Macaca fascicularis: one gene and its partners. The protein of the gene in region 3 purifies or fractionates together with the protein of the main gene of each other region. This does not show direct contact. Links are inferred from orthologs where the notes say so. Each region holds a gene or a part of one and is shown on either strand. Other genes may lie near its edges.

Region 1 (5,133 bases), on a different chromosome or scaffold from region 3:
GGAGTTTAACTTCTTTCGTCTTTGTTAACGATCGACCGGTCTTTCGCGTCCTCTTCCTCACGGAGTCCCTCGTTTCCAGGCCTCACGTTTGGGCGCCACGAGTCCCAGCCCACGGGATCGTCAAAGCAGGCCCTGGAAGAGGGGGGTGGGAATTTGGGGAACAAGAGACACTAGAAATGGAGACAAGACAGTATCCTGATCAAGTCTCGTTTAATGGCGGTAATGCAATGCCTTATATACATTTGGAGGGGAAGGGGTTGGGCTAAGGCGGAAATTACCTAAAAAAGGAAGGCGTGGCCAGATAAGCCTCGGTTTCTCCGGTCGGACTTCATGTTGCGCCTGCGCAGTCAGGTAGTCTTTTCGCAGGCGCGGGAAAAAAGAATGAAAAAGAAGCAGGAAGAGCGCCATCTTTTAATGGCAGTATTAATACAGGGAAGAAGGTAAATCTAGGGAGAAGGTGTGGGGTGGAAATGAATATAGCTCAGGCGTTTAATCTTTAATTATTATTCACTATGGCCGGGGCGTGCAGCTCCGGACACTCCACCTCCTGGGTTCAAGCGATTCTCCTGCCTCAGCCTCCCAAGTAGCTGGGACTACAGGTGTGTGCCACCACGCCCAGCTAATTTTCGTATTTTTAGTAGAGACGGGGTTTCACTGTGTTGACCAGGCTGGTCTCGAACTCCTGACCTCGTGATCTACCCGCCTCGGCCTCCCAAAGTGCTGGGATTACACGGGTGAGCCACCACACCCGGCCTGAAATTTTTTTTTTTTTTTTTTAAGAAATTGATTTTTTAAATCGTTTTTAAAGCGCTACCTAGGTTTAGCTGGGATAATGCATCATTTCATTCTTCTTTTACTTATTAATAACCATTTAAAAAATTACAAGATCCTATCAATTTGTCTGATTTACTGATTCCCCTATCCCAAAGTGGAGCGCAAAATTTTTATTTCTTCAACCTAAAGTTAGTTTAAAATACTTTTTCTGAAGAAAAAAAGAAAGAAATCCACATTGCCCACAGTCACTGGACAGGAATCTCAGCGTTGAGACACACGTTCAATTTCCAGAAGTCTACCTTCCCCTACCCAGGTTCCCGCAGCTCCTCAGCGCCCAGCCGCACCTCTTACGCCCCTCCCATGCTTCCCTCCAGCCTTCCTCCTTCTTCTCCCACTGCCTCCGCCCACTCTCTCGCCCACCCGGGAAGCTCCGCCCGCTTCAGCTCCGCAACCCAACTCCTTCTGTCCGGCTGTCGCTTTCCTCTTTCCCCGCCCCCATGGCTGCCTTCGATTGGCTAAACCTGCTGGGCCGCGGCGGGGATGCGGCGCAGCCGCATTCTGATTGACTAAACGTAGGCCTGGACCCTCGTGATTGGCTGATAGGAGGAGACAGCAAGTGTAGCTGAGCTCCGGGGTGTGTGGACGCCGCTTTGTTGCCTGAGGGGGGTGGCGGTGGAAGTTAAGGGAGTCAGGGGCTATCGCTTCTCGGGACTCGCAGTCGGGGCCACTGCAGTCACTTCTCCAGTTAGCCCTTAGGGTAGGGGTCGCGCCGGCAGCAGCCATGAGCGGCGGCGTGTACGGGGGAGGTGAGTGAGTGCGGCCGGAGGAGAGAGCGCGCGTTTTCGGCGTGTGGGGTTTGTAACCGCCGCTCCCAGCCCTCCCCTCCTCGGCGTTCCCTTCCGGTTTCCCCCTCTCGGGACCCCGGCCTCCCCGCCCCATCCCCGCCCCACGCTCTGCCCGCCCCCGGAGCCCACCAGGCTCGGCCAGCGCCTCGGGCGCCCTGGAGTGGTGGCTCTCTGTGGCCGGTTCCTGCCTCTGCCCCCGGAGAAGCAGGGTTTTGGGATGCACGCTCGTTTCTCTAGAGAGCCTCGGGGCTGGGCGGGAAGCTCAGTCCAGCCGGCCGCCGGGCCCGGCTTGCGTTACCGCCCCAGGGTCGCATCTCCACGAGTGCCTCCTGGACTCGGCTGTGTCGGGGCGCATGTGCTCGCGCCTAAACTTGGAAGGTCCCGGCGGTTTGCAAGCGTGGACGGAGGGTTCCCAGAGCGTCTCACAGGTGGCAATGCGAGCCTCAAGCCGTAGAACTGACTAGGGAAGCGGCGGCCACTTAGGGTACTGCCTCCTCCCTGTCTGTGCCCCATGCGCGAGCTGCCTCACCTTTCAGTAACTCCTGCCTGTTTGTTGGCTGCGGAGTCTCCAGAGTGACTCGTGGGCGGGTCTGTTTGAGATTAATTCAGGAGCACGTGTAGTTTAAGGATGCCCAGAAAGTTTGCCGGGGGTCCTAGACGTCTTGTTTTTTCACTTATCCTTGATTAGACTGGTATGGCAGAAAGATTACCAGGTGCGGGGGGTTACAGACCTGAGTTGAAATATCCGCCTCACTGTTGAGCGCTTTGGTCTTAGGCAATTTACATAATTTTCCAACTTCAGGCCTCATTTGTGGAATAATTCCTAGCCAATGGGGATGGGCGTGAAGGTTAAATGAAATAATGCTACATTTGCCACTTAAAGTCTGGTCCATGGACCAGCAGTGTCAGCATCACCTGCAAGCCTGTTAGAAATGCAGAATCTCACGCGTCATTCAAAATCTACTGATTTAGAGCCTCCATTTTTGCAAGATCTGCAGGTGAATCAAAACACTGATACATATAATTAATGTTTTGGGTTGTGTTTGATGAGTTAGAGACCCAGAAAACAAATCCAGACTATTGCTATTGTTGCTGTGTCTAGTAGTGATGCTGTTTCTATAAAGGATGTCATTTTACAGGTAAGATACAACAAAAATAAGATTTTTCCTTCATGTTCCCCAAGAAAATCACATCACCCCTAAACTTGGAAGGAGAAAAACATTTAAATCCTCAAAAAAGAAAAAAAAGCCTTTTTAGTAGAATAGAGGTTCAATTTTTTTTTTTTTTTTTTTTTTTTTTTTTTTTTTTGAGACGGAGTCCTGCTCTGTCGCCCGGGCTGGAGTGGGCTGGAGTGCAGTGGCCGGGTTTACGTCATTCTCCTGCCTCAGCCTCCCGAGTAGCTGGGACTACAGGCGCCCGCCACCTCGCCTGGCTAGTTTTTCTGTATTTTTTAGTAGAGACGGGGTTTCACCGTGTTAGCCAGGATGGCCTCGATCTCCTGACATCGTGATCCGCCCGTCTCGGCCTCCCAAAGTGCTGAGATTACAGGCTTGAGCCCCCGCGCCCGGCCGAGGTTCAATTCTTGAGGATTTTTATACACTAGAAATTGCATCCTAGGTTTTAAACATCCAGAACTCTGTGGTTCTTTCTACTAAGCCTCCTGCCTCCCATTGCCACTCTCCTACTTAGGGTTCATGGGGCTTGATTTTTAATGAAGCAGGGTACAGGAATTAGATGTATCTCCCATCCTGAAAAAGGAACAGATGTAAAATTCTAAGAATTTAGAGTCTTAAATTAAACTTCCACCATATCCAGTTTACTAATTAGGGCAGGAAAATGAGCTGATATGTTGGATTTTTTTCTATTTCACAAAAATGTTTTTTGAGCACTATGTGGCAGGTATAGGCTGTTGTCATCAAGAAGTTCAGTCTTGTAGATGAATCCGTTAGGTAAATAGACACCATATTTCACCGATTCTTAATTGTACATTTTTCCCACATTTAAACAGCTGAAGTTGGAATATGTCTTTTGTTTGTTTGTTTGTTTTTAATAGAGACGGGTCTTGAACTCCTGAGCTCAGGCAGTCCTCCCGCCTCAGCCTCCCAAAGTGCTAGGATTACAGGTTTGAGCCACTGCCCCCAGCCAGAATATGTCTCAGTAGTGCTGGCCTGGCAGAGTTTTAATTGCCATATTATTTTCTTAGTGATGCCGGAAATAGTGGTGCATCATGTAGTTGATAGCATCTTATATTGATCAGAAATGGTAACTGTAATTCAATGAGAGCTGTTCATTGATAACAATATGTAGAAGGGGCCAGGTGCGGTGGCTCACACCTGTAATCCCAACAACTTGGGAGGCTGAGGCGGGCGGATCACTTGAGGCCAGGAGTTCAAGATCAACCTGGCCAACATGACAAAACCCTGTCTCTACTAAAAATACAAAAATTAGCCAGGCATGGTGGCACATGCCTGGAGTCCCAGCTACTGGGGAGGCTGAGGCACAAGAATCACTTGAACCCGGAACTGCACTCCAGCCTGGGTGACAGAGCAGGACTGTATCCTAAAAAAACAAAAACAAACATATATATTTATATATGTTATATATAATTTATATATATAATATATATAATTTTTATGTTATATATGTTATATATATTTATATGTTATATATTTATATATGTTATATATATTTACATATGTTATATATATATAGTGCAAAAGTAGTTCAGAGAATAAAGTTATTGATTCCATGTGGTGGAGTCAAGGGACTTTACAATAGAGGTAATGGAGATGATGGAGGAGGAGTGGAAAGGGACAACATATGCAAAGGTTAGCTGAGAGTATGTGGTGTGTTCAGGAGATGACATATTACCCAGTAAGTCAGTGTATGAGGCAGGAAGTGAGACTGCTACCAGATATTGCTACGCCTTGAATTTCAACTGGCTAGAGTGATTTAAATTTTATCAAATTCAATGATGAGAAACCACGGAATGATTCACCCCCTTATTTTTGTTGAAGGATTTATGTACCAAAATAATGACAGTTACAATATTGAAAGATCACAGTGCAGCAGTTGGAAGGGTAGATTTAAGAGGCAAAGAGGTGGAGGCACGGTATCTGTAGGGAATTGTAGTTTCCCTGTTGAGATAAGAGCTTGATTGAAGGCAGGGGCAATGGTATTTAAAAGGAGGGGATTTGAGAAATACTTAGCAGAAATATTTGGCAGAACTTGAAAGATGGAGGTGTTCACAACAACTCTCAGCTTTTTGCCAATGTGGACTGTGGTCAGCAATGTGTTAGGCAATGCTGAGATGAGCAGTGCTTCAGATGTGTTGAATTTGAGATACCCATGAGACATCAGATACAATTATGTTGTTGTACAGTAAAAAGTTCAGGATATGGATCTAGACATTGGTTAGAGCTGAGACAGAGAGAGAGAGAGAGAGAGAGAGTGTTTTGAGATTGGAATTACCAGTATTTAGGTAGAAGTTGAAGCTATAGGAGTACAGTATATT
Region 2 (4,934 bases), on a different chromosome or scaffold from region 3:
AACTCTGAGCCTCCCTAACTCCCTGCTTGCAACAGGATCAGGTAGGCCTGGATCAATCCCCTGAACCCCAGATGAGGAATCCAGGGCTCCAGTGAGCATGCTTTGCCCTGCCCCAAATGTGGCCCTGATGCTCTGGAACCTGGGCCTGAGGGCCTCAGTTGGGGAACATACCACCACTCTCCCATGAGTAAAAAGGATTTTGAGGCAGGGCGCGGTGGCTCACACCTATAATCCCAGCACTTTGGGAGGCCGAGGCAGGTGGATCACAAGGTCAGGAGTTCAAGACCATCCTGGCTAAGATGGTGAAACCCCGTGTCTACTGAAAACACAAAAAAAATTAGCCGGGCATGGTGGCGGGCACCTGTAATCCCAGCTACTCAGGAGGCTGAGGCAGAGAATTGCTTGAACCTGGGAGGTGGAGGTTGCAGTGAGCTGATATCATGCCACTGCACTCCAGCCTGGGCGACAGAGTGAGACTCCGTCTCAAAAAAAAAAAAAAAAAAAAAAAAGATTTTGAACTTTTTGAACTCTCTGGAGTGAACCCAGAAATCTGAGGTTTTTGTTATTTTGTTGCCCAGGCTGGAGTGCAGTGGCAGGATCATAGCTCAATACAGCCTTGAACTCCTGGACTCAGGCAATCCTCCTGCCACAGCATCCCGACTAGCTGGGACCATAAGCGCACACCACCAAGTTTGGCTAAATTTTTTTGGGTTTTTTTTTTTTGAGAAATTATGGTCTCACTATGTTGCCTAGGCTGGTCTTGAACTCCTGATCTCAAGTAATCCTTCTGTCTGGGCCTCCCAAAGTGCTAGGATTATAGGTGTGAGCCACCACATCCTGCCCTGGAGGGTTTTTTGTTGTTGTTTTTGTTTTAGGTTCCTCTGTTAACTGTGATCCACAGCCAGAACCACCCTCTGGAGGAAGGGAGGTCATCACTTCCCTTCTTTCAACTATTTGTTCAGCTTGGGCCTCAAATTCTCGCTTTTCCAGCACATCTCATGAGCCCTAACAGACAGGAACCCCTCTGTTTCCCAGATCTCAAGTCCCTTCTCCTGGAAGTCATACAACTGGACTTGGAAAGAGAGCAAGTAGGATCCTCTTCAAACTCAGCCAAAGTTAGCTGGCTGGGTTCTCTGTACCATCTACCTCTCCTGCCAAGAGGAGGAAAGCTAGTGGGATGGGAAACCCAGACTCAGGGCCATCTCCTACTTCCCCACAGCTAGCAGCCCAGGCCTAACCAGCCAGCCAGCTTGGCCTTGCCACAAGCCCAAGGCCACCCCCCACCAAACATGTGGAATCCATTCTCTTAGGGGCTGTCTCAAGGGCACATTTCCTATGACTTTTTGCATGCCAAGGAAACTGGAGCGGCTTGTCTGTTCCAGGTCCTTCCAAGGCCAAAGGCCCACAGATGGTGCCCAGGCCAGGTCTCAGTGGGCAGGCCCAAGGGCTACAATGACTGATGCAGGGAGCCCTCAGCAACACCCTGGGCCCATGAATCCCCAAGGGGGAGAGTAGGGTGGGAAAGATGAGCCCCAGCTGGAGTCCCTGGGACCAGGTCTGTCTCTGCCCATATCCAGACTCTGTTTTCTCTTGAGAAAGGAGGAAGAATGAGGAGGAAGAAGGGAAAAAAATCCAGTCACTGTCCCTAGTTAAGCCATCTCCTTAGATGTGAGGCCCAGTGGGGCAGGTAGGCTGTGTATACTCCACGAGGATCCCTAAGGACCTCCGCCTGGAGACAGGAGTCGAAAACAGAGGAAGCCCACAGCAGACCCTGGGAGAAGCCAGTGTCAAATGCTGGGGCATATGGCTTCGGATGTGGCGGAGTTAGAACCTGAAGGCCAAATAAAAATGCAGAGAGGATGATAAGGCAGATGGGCACAGTTTCCAAGCCTGCTGGTGCAACCTGAACAGCAGACTAGGGGACCAGCAGGGTCAGGCTGAGGTTCTCACACACTGAGCAGAAGTCGCTGCCTTCCAAGGGCTTTTGAAGCTGAAACCTGAGCAGCTCTCAAAACCCCAAAGGGGTCAGGACAGCACTCTTTGAAGCAACTCTCGCAGACTCCTCGGGCCCCAGACCAGCAGGGTTCCACTCTGCACGTCCAGACTAATCAACTACCCGACACGATGACAGGAGGCAGAAAGCCCAGAAGAGAGCCGGCCTTTGACTAGGCTGGGCCTCCCCTCAAGCCTGGCCACCACCGTCTCTGGTCTAAGCTGGAGTCCTCCCCAGCGAAGGCGCCTGGCCCTGCCTCTGGAGTAAAGTCCGCCCGTGCACAAGCTGGAATGAATCCCCTGGCCCTAGTAGCCTCAGCGTCCCGTGCCCGTGGGAAGCCAGGCTCCTTCCTCCTCATTAGCAGCCGGGAGCCATCTCAGACACGCTAGAGCTCGGCCAGTTCGCAACCAGAAAAAACAGGGCAGACTTGGAGTGGGACCAAGGCCGATGCAGGGTAACCCCGGTTTCTCAGCGAGGGCCCTTTCCCAAACTTTCTCATCACTTTCTAGCCCTCCTACCCTAGACTTCTCAACCCACCCGCCCACAATTCACTGGTTCCCCAAACTCCTCCATCTCCCAGTCACTCGGAATCTCTGTGCCGCGGAAGCCCCCAGGCCTCCCAGCTGGTTCCAGCCCTCCGCTGCAGGACTCGCTCCCCCTTCCCCACTCCTCCACCGCCACCCGCCGCAGCCCGAGGGATCTGGCCCGCCCTCCACCGTCTCCCGGAGTTCCTCATGCATTCCCCAAGGCCCTCACTCGAGGCCCCCTCAGCCCCCGGCCCGGGCGCCCTCGCGGCGCCGCACGCCCCCGTCCGCTCGCGTCCTCCCTACTCACCTGGTACTGCCCCGCGGGGCCCGCGGGGCCCATGGGGCGGAAGGCGGCGGCCCCGGGGCCCCCCACGCCTCCAGCCGGACCCGGTCCCCGGAGCGCCGGTCCGGGCAGCATGCCGGGTCCGGCGGGGGGAGGAGGCGCTCCCAGGGCCGCGGCCACGGCGCCGCCGCCAGGGCTTAGCGGGGGCAGCGGGAACCCGCCCGCGCCTCGGCCCGACATCGCTCCGTCCCGTCCCGCGGTGCCGCGATCCGGACTCCGGGCTACGCGTCGAGTCCACTCCGCGCTCTGTACTCCGCGATCCGGGACTTGGCGATCTTAATTCCGGGTTCCGGGATTTGTCGATCCGGGCTCCGGGATTTCCTAATCCAAGTTCGCGAGTTCCTCACAGACCCGGTTCGGGACAGATTCCGCTCCTGCGCCGGAGATTCCGGATCCAGGATCTGCTGTGGGCCCGCCTGCCGCCCCCGGACTCCGGAGGTTTGGCCGCCCGAGTCGAGTTACCCAGAGGCGGCTACGAACTCCCTGCCCCGCCCAACCCAGCCCAGCACTAGGCCCCGCCTCTACCTGGTGCCCAATGCTCGAGTGCCTCCTTGAATCCCGCCCCTCGCGAGACCCGCCCCCAGCAGGCACCGCCCCTAACCGCCGACCTCAGAGTCCCACCCCCCACCTTTGGCCCCGCCCTTCATCGGAGGGGCGGGAGCGGAAGCTGCGCGCGGAAGCGCCGAGTGAGGCGCGGGGTCAGAGGTCTAAGGTCACGTTGAGGCTTCACAGTGAATGAGCAGTTGCTACTACTCTTTCCCGGTGTAGCAGCCTCACCGAAAATAGTTTTGTCAAGTCTCCTTTCTGCATCTTCCACATTAAAGACCCAACTCAGAGTCGGTAGCGGTGGCTCACGCCTGTAATCCCAGCACTTTGGGAGGTTGAGGCGGGTGGACCACCTGAGGTCAGAAGTTCGAGACCAGCCTGGCCAACATGGTGAAAACCCCGTCTCTACTAAAAATACAAAAATTAGCCGAGAGTGGTGGCTGGCGCCTGTAATCCCAGCTACTCGGGAGGCTGAGGCAGGAGAATCGCTTGAACCCGGGAGACAGAGGTTGCAATGAGCCAAGATCTCTCCACTCCACTCCAACCTGGGCGGCAAGAGTGAAACTCCTCAAAAAAAGAAAAAAGACTCAGCTGCTCTCTGGGGCAGAACAGCAGCCAACTCAACTTCCTGTAAAAGCTCATCCTGGTAGCTCGGAACTGCCAAGGGACCTAGGAGGCTCCAGACTTGACCCAGCTGGTGAATGGTCGACTTGGCCAAGGCTGAGCTCTTACAGCACATTTTTAACGTGGCTCTGCCTCACTATAAGGAAGCCTGGTACTTTACTCCCCAGCAAATGCTTCTAGTCAAAAGAAATTTGGCTTATGAGAAACCTCCCTGCAGTTTAAAAAGAGGTCTTTCTCTAGTATTTATAGCACTTAATTTTCAAAAATGCAGTATCTTTTCAGATACACTGTGCTGTATCAAAGTATTCAAAAATGCTTCAGCTGTCCCTTTGATGGTCTGGGTCTCCTCACAGTGATACGGCCCAGTGCTGCTTAAACCCTAATGAGCACATAAAAAACACCCGAGGCTCTTATTAAAAATGCAGATTGTGGCAGGGCCCAGGACTCTACATTTCTAACAAGCTGCCAGCGATGCTGTTGCTTCTCAGACCATACTGTCAAGAAGCCAGGATCTAGACTTTTTTTTTTTTCTTTACTATAATTGGTTTATTTTTCAGCCCCCACCAAGTAATGCTTCCTTTCTTGCATCATAGCACCCCAGATATTTTTTATAGTTTTCCAACGCTTTTTAGAAATTAGTTCTCCTCCTGTCTCTAGCGATAAACCCCACTGCTGCTGCTCTTACCTCCTGGACTTCTCAGAGATACCACTCTATTGCCCCAAGAGTTGATAACCTGTCAGTCTGGGGACTGGTCACTGGAATTGTTAAAGTCACTGAATCATGGCCCCTCCCATCCCTGTAAAGTGGGTTAAGAGTTCATGATAAGGCAACTAATATACATTTCAATCCTTTTTAAGCTTCTAGAACAACAGTAATTCTCAAAGTGATAGGGGCAGTGGA
Region 3 (4,899 bases):
ACTGCTGACAGAGCATGATGAAAATGGAAGAAAAGCAATAAAATAAAACAAGATAGAATAGTATAAAAAGATACTTCGAAGTTGCAATTTCTAAGCTAATCTCAAGTGTCATTCTAGGTCATATCTTCATGTCTTGGAAGACAAGAAAAAAAGTGGTACATTAAAATGCAAAGGAATAAATTGGCCAGTCTCTATTTCAAAGCTCTAAAATGACTGATGACAAAACAGAAAACTAGACTTTTTGTTATTCCAGGAAAAAACAATTTCACCAAACCAAGCCTTTAGGAGAAAGTCCCTCAAGATCATGAAAGACACCAACTTCCGTTTAAATTAAGCTGCTATTCCAAAGTTCAATTAACAAAAGAAAGTGTTAACAAGATTCAACATGTAAACAAAGAATGAGGCCAGCCTTCCATAACACAGAATGCTTGAACCTAATATAAAATTCCTCAGAAAGCTCCCAGTTCTTAAAAAGAAAAAACTAAAAAACGAAAATTGTTTTCTCCCCCACCCACAAAGATCCCACATTTGCCACTCAATAAAAACCCCAGTAAAATCATTTCAATTCTGCAAAGCAACCAGTGTCAAAATTACTCAAGACAAATGCATCTTCAGAGCCATCAAAGAAGTCATTTATACCATCAGGAAAGTCACAAAACCAAAACAAACAGCAAACCCATTGTAGAGAAAAAACTCAGCTACTGTTCTGACAACACAGAATTCATTTCAGGCTGCATAAAACATAACAAGCAAAATAAATCCAAGGTACAAGCAAAATGCCATTGCCCCCTCTTTTGTTTCGGGCACAATGTAACAAGGGCAGGCTGTCTGAGGCTTTGCTCCTGCTGATACAGTATTGCTACTTAAACCTCCCTCCTCAAGGTCACAGCCAATTTCAGCTCTGGAATAAAAGGCAGATAGTGGCAGCGATGGTTTGGGTTATCACTGGCAGAAAAGCAGAGTGTAAAAGTTTATGAGCTCATCAGGATTGTTGTACCATTACATCAGAGGCAATTATAAATGGCCAAGAGCAGGAGATGGGGAGCCAATCAGATCACAGATAGGATGTCAACCTAAGACCAACTGTCTCCTGGCTTTGACAGAAGGATTTTACCTCCATAATTCAAATCCCAAACCAAAGCAATCTGCACTTACTACTCCAATCACTCAGCTGTTTACCAGCACTTCCAGAGAGAAGCCCAGGCCACTGGGCCGGCGGAGCCTAAGACAGGAGATGGCAAGGGCTGCCCTAGGTGAACCGCAGCCGGCCTCTAGCAGCTCCCAAGCAGTCCCCTGCCCTCCCTCGAGGTCCCTCCGAGCTCTAGGGGCCCTCTTTGAAAGCACAGATGGGGGGCGGCCCAGAGGAAGGCCGGGGGACGGAGAGGAGCGGCAGGTGAGCAAAGAAACGTTCATTCAACTCCTGGGTTCCTACCACTGCCTACACTCCTAACCTGAGCCCCCAGCACCCCCTCACTCCCGGCCAGGCCCTTCCCCACACACTCTGCCCCGCACCCCCATCAAGACCCCTGGAGTTCGAAGGGACCAAGGGAGAGGAACAAGAGAAGCAGACACCTCTGGGAAAGCCCGACACAAAGGCTGGAGGAGGAAAGGAGAGGAAGGCAGACAGGCAGCCATTTTAAGAGAGAAGAGCCAGACAATGGCAGCTCCCCAGCAGTGGGGGCCCGAGACTGAGGGGAGCCCAAGGCTGTGGCCCGCTGACCGCAGCCGCCACCCACCCCCAGGACCACGCTCGCCCCAGCCCCCTCCCCACTCAGCTGTGTACCTGAGGGGTCCGGGCGAGCGGCTGCCCCCCGCCGCCGCTGCTCCCGGGGCTCATGGGCGCGTGGTGGCTCCTTTGTTGGGCCCCTCCCGAGGCGGCCGCCGCCGCCGCCGCCGCCGCTGCCGCCGCCGCAGCCCCCCAGCACTGCGAGGCCATGTCCGCCGGGCCCTTGCCGGCGCCCCCGTCCTGGGGCCCGCCGCCGTAGTCGCCCCCGGGGTAGCCCTGGTAGCCCCGGGCCGAGCTGGGCGACGTGAGCAGTTGGTTGAGGGTGGGGGTGGCGGTGGGCTGGGGAGTTCCCCCGCCGGCCGCGGAGGGGCCGCCTCCCCCCATGGCCCCGAAGCGCTGCTGAGCGAAGGACGAAGACGACGAAGAGGCGGAGGCGCTGGAGGAGGGAGGCGGCTTGGAGCCGGGAGCCGCCGCCGCGCCGGAGCCCGGAGTGCCACCTCTCGGGGAGCTCAGCGCGTAGGCCGGGGCGGGCGGGGGGTAGGCGCTGCGGTTGGGGTAGTAGGAGTTGTACTGGTGGTTGGGGAAGCCGTGGTCGTGAGAGTTCTGCTGGGGCCCCGCGTAGGGCTCCAGGCCCCCGCCGCCGCCGCTCTGCAGCGCTGCCAGGCCAGGGCTTTGTTGTCCGCCATGTTGTTGGTGGAAGACGGCGGCCGCGGCGGCGGCGACGGCAGACGGGCTCCGGCCGTAGGGTTGCCCGAAGCCGTAGGCTGGGGGCGGCAAGGCGGCCGCGGCAGAGTGAGGAGGCGCCCCCACCCCATCGCTGCTGCCGCCACCGCCGCCGCCGGGCGGCTCCGTGAGGTTATTGTTCAGGGCGGGCCTAGGGCCCGCGTTCCCGTTCGAGTTCTTCAGGTCCGGCTCCGCGCCGGGCCCGCCGCCGCCGCCAGCTCCGCCGCCGCCGCCACCCCCATTGCTCTCGGCCCCGTCTTGCAGCTCCTTTCCCAGCGGCTGCGGCGGCCCCACGGCAGGGCCCTCGCTTTCCTGCCCGGCGGCTGCCTTCATTTCCCCGCGCTCGGCCGCTGCCGCCGCCGCCGCCTCGCCCCCCGCCTCCTCCCGCTGCTGCTGCTCGGCTTTCTTCAGCTCCGAGGGCGGCGGCGGCGGCGGGTTGCCCAGGCTGCTGGCGGCGGCGGGGGCGACCTGCGCGGCCATGATCCCCGCTGTCTCGTCCGCGGAGAGACCCGGCCCTGTCTTCGTCTTCTCCCCCCCTCCCACCCCGCCCCGGGGCCGAGTCCCCCGGGCTGCCCTCCCCACCCGCCCGGGCGGGCCTCGCGGGGCTCCGCTGCTGCGCTGCGCTCGCTCCTCTCCCCCCCGCCCCGCCGGCTCAGGCTCCGGGCTGGCGGCGGCGGAGGAGGAGGAGGCGGCGGCGGCCGAGGCGCCGGCGGCTCAGCTGCTCCCGGCTCTGTAGGCTCGGGACCCGGCTCTCCCGGCTCATTCCCCCCAAGCCCTTGCCTGGGAATGAGGGGGGCGGTGGAGGCTCCGCTCCCCAGGGCCTGGCCCCGCTGTGACTCTCCGCTTTCTGCTGCCGGAGAAAGGAGGAGGGAGGGAGGGAGGGAGGCGAGGGGGAGGGGGCGGGGAGGGAGGGAGGGAGCGGGGGGAGGGGGACCCGGGACGGGCGGGCTGGAGGGCGCGCGGCAGCAGCCCGGGCGCCGGGAGCCAGAGTCAGAGCGCGGGCCGGGCCGGGCGCCCTGCCTTCCCTCGCCAGCCGCGGCTTGGGTCGAGGCTGCGGCGCGGCAGCGGGCGGGCGAGAAAGCGGTCGGCCGGACTGAGCGGCTAGAGCGCCCCACTCTCCTCCGAGTCCCCCTCACTCCGACACGAGGCTCAGCACTGCCATTTTACCCAGCGCCGTCGCGGCCGCCTTGCAAACCCGGAGTGGAGAGCGGAGCGGGCGCAGGCCGTGGAACGGACTCGCTCCCTACCCCTCACAAAGGAGGAGGGGAGAGAACAAGCCGCGGCGGCGGCAGGCCCTTAGCCGCTTTCGCTAGGCAGCGCCGCCGCCGAAGGCTTCGGAGAAAACCCGGCCCGGAGCCCGCGCATCTCTGGAGCCTGCGCCGCCTCCCTCCCGGCGTCCCTATCCAGGTCTGTCCCCTCCCGGCCGTACCGAGGGGAGCGGGCAGCGTGAACTTTACCCGCGACTGCAAAATTGGCCAGAGCCCGAGACCGCGGCCGCCTCGGCCCAGCCCTGACCCCCTGGCAGCGGGCCCGGTCCGTTGGCTGCTGTTTAGCACCTCTACAGCACTTTTCGTCTTCAAAGCCTTCTACAGACCCCGCTAAAGACCCAGCCTTTTTACCCTCTTTGCGAGCCCAAAGGAATGACTGGTCATTGTTCAGATGATTCGTTTCCCACTCGCCTGCCCTCATTAGCCGGTCCTCACAAGGCTCTGGGGGCATGAGGTCCGGATTATCCCCATTTTACAGAATTGAAAGAGGGGAGGGAACTGCCTGTCACTTAAAGTCAGAGGGCAGAGGAGGGTGACTTTAAAAAGAAGTGGAGTCACCAAAGCTGCCTTCGGTCTACTTGCCTTAAAAAAAAAAAAAAAAAAAAAAAAAAAGTCAAGTTGTGAGCACATTCAACAATGGAATCAGAATATCAAAATGGATTTGAAGTCAAAACTGATCATCTCACCACTGACTTAAAATGGAGGCCACTTGAAGTTGCTTTAGGAGCATACAACAGTTACCCAGCAGGAGAACCTAAACCCTGTTTTCACTCCCTCTCAGGAAAACTTAGCCCACAATGACCAGTATCCCCAGTCTCCAAAGACAGTACCTTCTAAGACTGAAAACCCACAGAAGAGGCTCCAGGGACTGCAGGAACCTGAGTGTTCAAACCATTACAGAAGAGAGATGCAGAAAATGGAAACCATTTTCTCCTTGAAGAAAAGGCACAGTCCAACAAGTCACTTAGAAAATGGATGCTTCTCAGATTTGTTTTCTATCCTGTAGCGTAAAAATTGTTTAAAGTTTACCATTTACATTCTAAGAGACCCCGATTGAGCTGGATCTGAAAAGATCAAGACATACACAGAAAACTCCAGTGTTGTCCTGATCTACAGGCCCCACCAAATCCCAGCAGCAGCCTTTTCTTCCTCAGGCTGACTTGGAATGTTCTGACATGACAG

What was found.
Region 1: the proteins of ARID1A (region 3) and ACTL6A purify together in Homo sapiens (affinity purification with mass spectrometry; 5 studies listed by BioGRID and IntAct, with this or other methods). This does not show direct contact. The link is inferred for Macaca fascicularis from reciprocal best matches to the Homo sapiens genes ARID1A and ACTL6A.
Region 2: the proteins of ARID1A (region 3) and SMARCD2 purify together in Homo sapiens (affinity purification with mass spectrometry; 7 studies listed by BioGRID and IntAct, with this or other methods). This does not show direct contact. The link is inferred for Macaca fascicularis from reciprocal best matches to the Homo sapiens genes ARID1A and SMARCD2.

The regions. Positions count from the first base shown.
Region 1 is NC_088376.1:91,315,194-91,320,326, forward strand, and holds the start of ACTL6A (actin-like protein 6A), read left to right. Parts: upstream 1-1,739; 5' UTR 1,740-1,836; coding exon 1,837-2,047; exon of another isoform or gene 2,048-2,103; intron 2,104-5,133.
Region 2 is NC_088390.1:70,346,538-70,351,471, forward strand, and holds the start of SMARCD2 (SWI/SNF-related matrix-associated actin-dependent regulator of chromatin subfamily D member 2), read right to left. Parts: upstream 3,055-4,934; 5' UTR 3,044-3,054; coding exon 2,828-3,043; intron 1-2,827. UniProt on the Homo sapiens protein: Involved in transcriptional activation and repression of select genes by chromatin remodeling (alteration of DNA-nucleosome topology).
Region 3 is NC_088375.1:208,411,591-208,416,489, forward strand, and holds the start of ARID1A (AT-rich interactive domain-containing protein 1A), read right to left. Parts: upstream 3,302-4,899; 5' UTR 2,930-3,301; coding exon 1,784-2,929; intron 1-1,783. UniProt on the Homo sapiens protein: Involved in transcriptional activation and repression of select genes by chromatin remodeling (alteration of DNA-nucleosome topology).